Macaca fascicularis: one gene and its partner. The protein of the gene in region 2 binds, or shares a complex with, the protein of the main gene of each other region. Links are inferred from orthologs where the notes say so. Each region holds a gene or a part of one and is shown on either strand. Other genes may lie near its edges. The genes, in order: PFN2 and VASP.

Evidence for each region.
Region 1: the proteins of VASP (region 2) and PFN2 are in contact, whole or in part, in a crystal structure (PDB 2V8C), measured with the Mus musculus proteins. The link is inferred for Macaca fascicularis from reciprocal best matches to the Homo sapiens genes VASP and PFN2. Residues at the interface, in NP_033525.2 of Mus musculus: Gly165, Pro166, Pro167, Pro168, Pro169, Pro170, Gly171, Pro172, Pro173, Pro174, Pro175, Pro176; in NP_062283.1 of Mus musculus: Gly3, Trp4, Ser6, Tyr7, Asn10, Cys13, Tyr30, Trp32, Met131, Tyr134, Ser138, Phe140.

The regions. Positions count from the first base shown.
Region 1 is NC_088376.1:52,800,531-52,804,897, reverse strand, and holds the start of PFN2 (profilin-2), read left to right. Parts: upstream 1-1,493; 5' UTR 1,494-1,830; coding exon 1,831-1,962; intron 1,963-4,133; coding exon 4,134-4,326; intron 4,327-4,367. UniProt on the Homo sapiens protein: Binds to actin and affects the structure of the cytoskeleton. At high concentrations, profilin prevents the polymerization of actin, whereas it enhances it at low concentrations. By binding to PIP2, it inhibits the formation of IP3 and DG.
Region 2 is NC_088393.1:53,581,851-53,585,653, forward strand, and holds part of VASP (vasodilator-stimulated phosphoprotein), read left to right. Parts: intron 1-2,500; coding exon 2,501-2,585; intron 2,586-3,355; coding exon 3,356-3,405; intron 3,406-3,525; coding exon 3,526-3,767; intron 3,768-3,803. UniProt on the Homo sapiens protein: Ena/VASP proteins are actin-associated proteins involved in a range of processes dependent on cytoskeleton remodeling and cell polarity such as axon guidance, lamellipodial and filopodial dynamics, platelet activation and cell migration.

The DNA of each region.
Region 1 (4,367 bases), on a different chromosome or scaffold from region 2:
CACATAGTGAGCCTGTGTTACAAGTAATCTATTATTAGCTTTTAAGATGATACAGTGCTATGATCGAAGGACTAAAATGATCAACATCACCATAAAAGGCAGTTATAAACAAGAACAATTAAGTGTAATTAAATTAGGTGGGAGGCACACTTAGAGAAATGAAACAATTTTTGGCTCACATTTTACACCACACAGGTATTCTGTATCTTTAGAACATGAGAAAATACATATTCTCAGTCTGATAGGTCTCCGACTTGGGGGTTCTTTTACTGTACTTTTTTCTCTCTAGTAGCCGAACATTTTAAAGGAATCAGCAGAAAAAACATCAAACTTCAGAACCAATTAGACTTTTAAAAGCAACGTTCTTGCCCTTTCCAGAGATACATGCCTTAATCCTCCTACAAATCATGACCTTACACGGTAACTTTAAGGGTGAACATCAACTTATCTACATTTTGGCGCTTGCTTTCCCTAAGTGGCAGATGGTTTCTATTAACCTAAAATTGAAGTCCTTGTTGGGGGACCCCTAATTCCATGTCTAGTCCTAGTGCCCAGAGGCTACCAAAGACGATACGAATAGCTTCTCAGGCACTCCACCCACCATTTACCTTGTTAATGCAAATCTCGCCCAGACCTGGGTCCCGAAATTATTTTACCCTGCAGAACAGAAATGTTATGGTGTTCATTCAGTGAACTCGTCCCTAGTTTTTAATCTTTGTATTTTCTGCGTATACTTCGAGCCACCAGTAACTTTCCCAGTTACCAAGAAACAGTGTAACACAGGTCGCTATTTGTTTTGTTCGGAATTTACGAGCCATTTAAGCACACACGTGATTAGCAACACTAAGGGGGCTCTTCCAGGCAAAGAATCCACAGAATGAGAGGCCCTTGGTACCCAAATGAAGCAACAATGAAAGATCGGCGAAGCTCAGCAAGGTGCCTGAGCGCCACGGACGCCTGCTCTGATTTCAGGTTGCCGGCGCGCGCCCGCGGGTCTGCCTTTATGGGCGAGGCGCAAAAGGGCTCCAGGAAAGAGGGCGCCCTTAGGGGCTCGGAGATTAGCGTGGGCGACCCTGCCACCAGCCGCCCCCACCACAAAGAAGAGGAAACGCTCCGCATCCCGTCACCAGGGCAACTCTGCAACCCGACACCAAGGCTCAAGATTCCGCATCCCGGGCAGCGGACACAGAAGAAAAGCACATCGCGGCCCGGCCGCGGGGCTCCAAGGCGTCCCTGCGGCTGCTGTTCCTAGGGTGCCGAGAGCGACGCGGGGGCCACCCCTCTCCGCCGGCCCGGGGTCCGAAGATCGGCCATCCGCCGCAACGCCACCGCGCCCGGCCGGCGCCTGCCGCACGTGGCGGCCGTGATTGTCCCGGGGCGGTATCCCTCCGCGCCCCCGCCTCAGTCTCCCCCCGCCCTTCCCGGGACCCTCCGTGCCAGGGCGCCGCGGAAGGATCGCACGCACGCGCGCGCGCACGCCCCGCCGTATCCGCGGAGAACGGAGGGCGCTGCGGTAAGGAGCAGCCGCCGCCACCACCACCGGCACAGCCGCTCCGCAGCCTCCCGCCGCTGGTTAGTCAGCCCCGCGGCTGCGGGCGGCCGGGTGGCCGGGCGCGCTCTGAGGTTCGTCCCTCATCGCTGAACCCGCGTCCTCCCTCCGCGGCTCCTCGGGGAGGGGGGCGGTCGGTGCCTGCGCAGAGCCGCCTCCTCCCCGCCCCCGCCCCGCCTTCCCCCGCGCCGCCGCCGCCGCCGCCGCCCGCTACCGCCGCCGCCGCCGCCGCCGCGCCTGCTGCTCCTCGCCGTCCGCGCTGCAGTGCGAAGGGCTCGAAGATGGCCGGTTGGCAGAGCTACGTGGATAACCTGATGTGCGATGGCTGCTGCCAGGAGGCCGCCATTGTCGGCTACTGCGACGCCAAATACGTCTGGGCAGCCACGGCCGGGGGCGTCTTTCAGAGCATTACGGTGAGGACCAGTGGCGGCCGGGACCCTGGTCCCTGCACCGGAGTGGGGTTGGCGGGCCGCGGGGGCACCGCAGCGCGGGGCCGGAACACCGAGGGCCGAGCCCGCAGGTGTGCTAGGCAGCGGGCGCCGAGGATGCGGCTGCCGGGCAGGCTGGGAGGCCGAGGCCCGGAGACGCCCCCTCACCCGGGGCTGCGCTGACAAGCGGGGGCGGCGGCCAGACTCCTTGCTGGCCCTCGCCGGGCGTCCCCGGCGTTCCCAGCGTGGGTCCAGGTGCCCGGGTTGGGGGAGGGGGCACGCACCAGCCAGGGCAAGGGGAGGGTTTCCTTTTTTCCTGCTAGTGCGGTTCCCCTAGGTTCTCTTGAAGCCCTGAGGTTTGCTATGCACGTCCTGGGGTGGAAGCGGGGGTCGGGGATCCGGGCCGGGGAGCGCGGGCCCCGGGTAGAGGTCCCCAGGCTTCTTGGCCGCCTCTTGCTCGGCGGACAGCTAGCCGCCCGCGCCTCCGGCTGTGGGAGGCGGTGGCCCCGACCCGGCCCCCGGGATTCTCGAAGCGACTTTGCGTAGGTTTGCCGATGTCCAGGCCTCTGGGGCTTGCGAGAGATGTGCGCCGACCGCGTAGGTGGATTCGTGAATCTCGACTTCAGCTGTAGCTCTATAGGTTGTTTTTTTTTTTTTTTTTTTTTTTTTTTAATTCTCCAAGATGGCGAACTGCCATTGATTTCTCTCCTTCTCATATGGAGATTCATCGATATACGGTTATCCCCAGTTACGCAACATAGCTCAAAAAAGGGGTGCTTTTCGGGGGCTTTCAATTATCTGCGAAGACCAGGAGCACACTTCACTTCTCCAAGTCCCTCCCTCTTTAGTGGTGGCAGTAAAGGAACTAATGCAGTTTTATGCTTCACATTGCCTGATTTTCTTGAGACTTGATGGTTTTGAGTTGGTTGCAGTATGTTTGGGGAATATTTGCAAGTAAGCCTCCAGCTTATTGTTTTGCCTGTTTCTGCCCAAGGCTGTTTCTAAAATTATGATAATTGTATTAAATACGAGACCATTCCTTTAATTTCTTAGCACCACGCTCCCTTCCCATTAAACACCAAAATTCAGGTCCCCTATTATGGGTGCTAATTATTCTTTTGCCACTTAACGTGGTTTAAAGTCTGACTTTAGAACTCAGTCCTTGATGCTAGTACTTTAAGGTCTCGTATACCCGCAGTGGACTACAATTCTTGTAGGGAATTGGCATCTGGTCATCAACTTTTTTCCTGCAGTCCTCTTGTCTTTGTGTGTGAGTTCCCGCTGTCTGACGAGGAAGATTGCGGGAGTGTGCTTGGAAATGGCTGGGGCCTGCTATGACTCTGCAGTTCTGATGGGGGCGACGCCTTCCTTCTTATTCATGGAATGTTAGAATGCACGTTTTCTCCTTTCCGGTTCTGGTGGCTACCTCAGTTTCTTTCCCAATCTCCCTCCATTTTCTCTGTTTTACTATTGCCTACCGCAGTGCTGTAGACAGAATCCACTTTGCGTTTGCCCAGAAAGAAAACTGATTACTGAGATGGGAGGGGAAGGGAGGTTGGAAAGAAACAGGAGTCGTGGCTAGAAAAATAGGAGGGAAATATGAATTTGGAAAAGCACTGATGTTCGGGGATTGAAGTCCATATCATCAGGTATATTTCTAGTTATTCCAAGCAGAGAAGTGAACAAATCAAAGAACAGGCTTTATTTTGGGAGACTTTGAAGCAACTTTAAATGTGATGAAACATGATTTACTGTAATGGGACTGAATATGATAGACCAGCTGTGTTCAAAGAGTTGATAGCTGAATTTTTACCATTACGTGAACACTTTCAGGCACCAGCTGACTTAATACAGTTTATAAATAACTCTTTAAGTTTGCACTTTGTCTAGTGTCAACTATCAATTATTTAGAGTTTCTTTATATAGACTGGTCTTGGTTAAGAGACGACACCGTTAACTGAAATCAAATCAACTGATGTAAAAGATGTGATTATATAGAATTAAGTAATTATTAAGAAAAGACCGAATCTTGGTTTTACGTTAGTGAAATGTGGCTGTCTGGCATGGCACACAGCCTTTCCTGTTAACATCAAGCCCTAAAAGGAATTAACTACAACTTCATGTTTTTTTTTTTTTTTCTTTCTGGTGGGGGACAGCCAATAGAAATAGATATGATTGTAGGAAAAGACCGGGAAGGTTTCTTTACCAACGGTTTGACTCTTGGCGCGAAGAAATGCTCAGTGATCAGAGATAGTCTATACGTCGATGGTGACTGCACAATGGACATCCGGACAAAGAGTCAAGGTGGGGAGCCAACATACAATGTTGCTGTCGGCAGAGCTGGTAGAGGTAAGTAAGGCATTCTTTTGGTTAAAAGTTGCATGCCACGT
Region 2 (3,803 bases):
AAGCTGGAGTGCAGTGGTGTAACCTCAGCTCACTGCAATCTCCACCTCCTGGGTTTGAGTGATTCTTCTGGGGGACAAGAGTGAGACTTCATCCCAGAAAAAAAAAAGAGCCTCCTGAGTAGCTGGGGTTACAGGCATGCGCCACCATGCCCAGCTATTTTTTTGTATTTTGTTTTTATTTTTATTTTTTTATTTTTTTGAGACAGAGTCTCGCTCTGTCGCCCAGGCTGGAGTGCAGTGGCGTGATCTCGCCTCACTGCAACCGCCGCCTCCCGGGTTCAAACGATTCACCTGCCCTAGCCTCCCGAATAGCTGGGACTACAGGCGTGAGCCACCACACCCGGGTAATTTTTTGTGTCCTTAGTAGAGACAGGGTTTCACCATGTTAGCCAGGATGGTTTCGATCTCTTGACCTCGTGATCCGCCCGCCTAGGCCTCCCAGAGTGTTGGGATTACAGGTGTGAGCCACCACGCCTGGCCTTTGTAATTTTAGTAGAGAAGGGGTTTCACCATATTGGCCAGGCTGGTTTTGAACTCCTGGCCTCAAGTGATCCACCTGCCTCTGCCTCCCAAAGTGCTGGGATTATAAGTGTGAGCCACCACGCCCAGCCACCTGGATCATTTCAAAATTGCTTTTTTACTTTTTGTGGAGATGGTCTACAGGCTGGTCTCAAACTCCTGGGCTCAAGTGATCCACTTCAGCTTCCTAAAGTGCTGGGATTGCAGGCATGAGCCACTACACCCAGTCCAGTTGCTTTTCTTTTTTTTTCTTCCTTTTTTTTTTTTTTTGATATGGAGTGTCTGTCTGTCTCAGGCTGGAGTGCAGTGGTGTGATCTCGGTTCACTGCAACCTCTGCCTCCTGGGTTTAAGCAATTCTGCCTCAGCCTCCCGAGTAGATGGAACTACAGGTGCATACCACCATGCCTGGCTAATTTTTGTAGTTTTAGTAGAGACGGGGTTTCGCCACGTTGGCCGGGCTGATCTCGAACTCCTGACCTCAGGTGATCCACTCGCCTTGGCCTCCCATAGTGCTGAGATTACAGGAGCAAGCCAGGCGCCCAGCCCAGTTGCTATTTCTTAAACCTTAACATGCACATGAATCACCTGGGGATATGGTTACAGTGCAGGCTCCGGTGCAAATGGGCTAGGGAGACTGAGACTCTGCATTCTCACAAGTGCCCTGGTGATACCGAGGCTGCTGGTCCGCGGATGTGACTGAGTAGCGAGGTTTTATGTCACTGCCATGCATCTGGCCTGGAATCACTGCTGTAGAACTGAAAGTCACCAAATGCAGCGGTGTTTGCTTTGTGGGGCAACTTCTGTGCTAGTGCGGAAGGGGTTTGCTCCTCTGGGGCACACAGAAAAATACAGTGCGCTTCAGTGTAGTCATCTGTAAAATGGGGCTAATTCATGTTAATTCATAGCCAATTCAATTCAGGTGGGTGCTGGGGCCAGCGGCCTGGAGGTAGGTGAGGAAGAAGCTCTTTACCTTTCCAGGTTCTTAGGTAAGGTCCAAGTGGCTGTGACAGTGGTTAAGAGCTGACCAGGGGCCAGGTGCAGTGGCTCACGCCTGTAATCCCAACACTTTGGGAGGCCGAGGCGAGTGGATCACTTGCGGTCAGGAGTTTGAGACCAGCCTAGCCAATATGGTGAAACCTCATCTCTACTAAAAATACAAAAATTAGCCAGGCATGGTGGCAGGTGCCTGTAATCCCAGCTACTCAGGAGGCTGAGGCAGGAGAATCTCTTGAACCCGGAAGGCGGAAGTTGCGGCGAGCTAAGATCACACCATTGCACTCCAGCCTGGGGGACAAGAGCGAGACTTCATCTCAAAAAAAAAAAAAAAAAAAAAACGAGCTGGCCAGGTGCTGTGGCTCATGTCTGTAATCCCAGAACTTTGAGAGGCCGAGGTGGTTGGATAGCTTGAGCTCAGGCGTTTGAGACCAGCCTGGGTAACATAGCAAAATCCCATCTGTACAAAAAAAAAATGATTAGCCAGGCGTGGTGAAATGTGCCCGTAGTCCCAGCTACTCGGGAGGCTGAGGTTGGAGGATCACCTGAGCCTGGGGAGACTGAGACTGTGGTTAGCCGTGATTGCGCCACTGCATTCCACAGCCTGGGTGACAGTGAGACTCTGTCTCGAAACAAACCAACAGTGGTTAAGAGCCTGGCTGCTGGAATCGGCCTGAATTCAAGTCTTGTTCCTGCACATTCCAACCTGGAGAACTTTGGGGCAAGTGACTGTCCCCTGGGCCTTAGCTTCTCCTGTCACTGGGACATCACAACAACACCTGCCTTAGGGCAACTCAGGCCAGGGAGGCTGGTGCTGCCTCACCTCCCAGGGTGTGTCCTCCTGGGCCTGGAGCCTCAGGGCCTCAGGAAGGAGGAAGTGAGTGCCCCTGGGCAGGATTCCTGGGAGGCCTGGAAGAGCAAGGGAAACGCCAAGGGCTGAGCAGAGTTCCGGGACTGACTTGTGGCCCTTTCTCTCTCACCTTCCAGGAGGTGGGCCCCCTCCACCCCCAGCACCTCCCACCTGGTCGGTCCCGAACGGTCCCTCCCCGGAGGAGGTGGAGCAGCAGAAAAGGTGGGGCTGGGCCCTGGGTGGGGAACCTTAGCCACGGCCAGTTCCATACGTTCTGGAACCCTTGACTCCTAGAGTTCAGAACCCAGCCAACTTGCAGTTTTCAGAATGTTCAAGAAATTTCTGACACTGAGAGTTGCAGAACCTCCTGGTCCCTGCAGATTCCTGGAAATCAGAATATGGTGGTTGAAAGAATCTCGTGGCTGGGCGTGGTGACTCACCCCTGTAATCCCAGCACTCTGGGAGGCTGAGGCGGGCAGATCACCTGAGGTCAGAAGTTTGAGACCAGCCTGGCCAACACGGTGAAATCCTGTCTCTACTGCAGATACAAAAATTAGCCGGGCATGGTGGCGCCCGTGCCTGTAATCCCAGCTTGGGAGGATGAAGCAGGAGAATCGCTTGAACCTGGGAGGCGGGGGTTGCAGTAAGCCAAGATCGAGCCACTGCACTCCAGCCTGGGTGACAGAGTGAGACTCTGTCTTTAAAAAAAAAAAAAAAAAAAAAAGAATCTTGGGCATTTTGTCATTCGGGTGTTCCTGACAGTTTAGTGACTGAGATCTTGCATTCAGATCTCTCCCTGTCACTGCCCTGCCCTCCATTCCCCCCACTCTCACCCACCCCCATTCTTGGTTCCCTAGGGGAGGAAGGCTTGGGTGAGGATTAGGAGCCAGCGTCCCTGGAGACCTCTGAGAGAGAGGATGGAGGTCGCTGGCCCCTTCCCTGGTCATCCTTAGGGCCCTGATTGACGGCAGCTCCCTCGCCTCCCCCTACAGGCAGCAGTCCGGCCCGTCGGAGCACCTAGAGCGCCGGGTCTCCAATGCAGGTGATGCTCAGATGGCTTCGGGAGTTGGGAGGGGGCCTCCCTGGAGGAAGAGGCCAGCTAGCTGGACAGTGAAGAACGAAGCTTCTCTTTCAGCTGCCCCCTTTTCTGTGTTTGTTTCAGGAGGCCCACCTGCTCCCCCAGCTGGGGGTCCACCCCCACCACCAGGACCTCCCCCTCCTCCAGGTCCCCCCCCACCCCCAGGTTTGCCCTCCTCGGGGGTCCCAGCTGCAGCACATGGAGCAGGGGGAGGACCACCCCCTGCACCCCCTCTCCCGGCAGCACAGGGTCCTGGTGGTGGGGGAGCTGGGGCCCCAGGCCTGGCCGCAGCTATTGCTGGAGCCAAACTCAGGAAAGTCAGCAAGGTGAGGGGCCAGGAGAGGTGGGAAGGGGCAACAGGG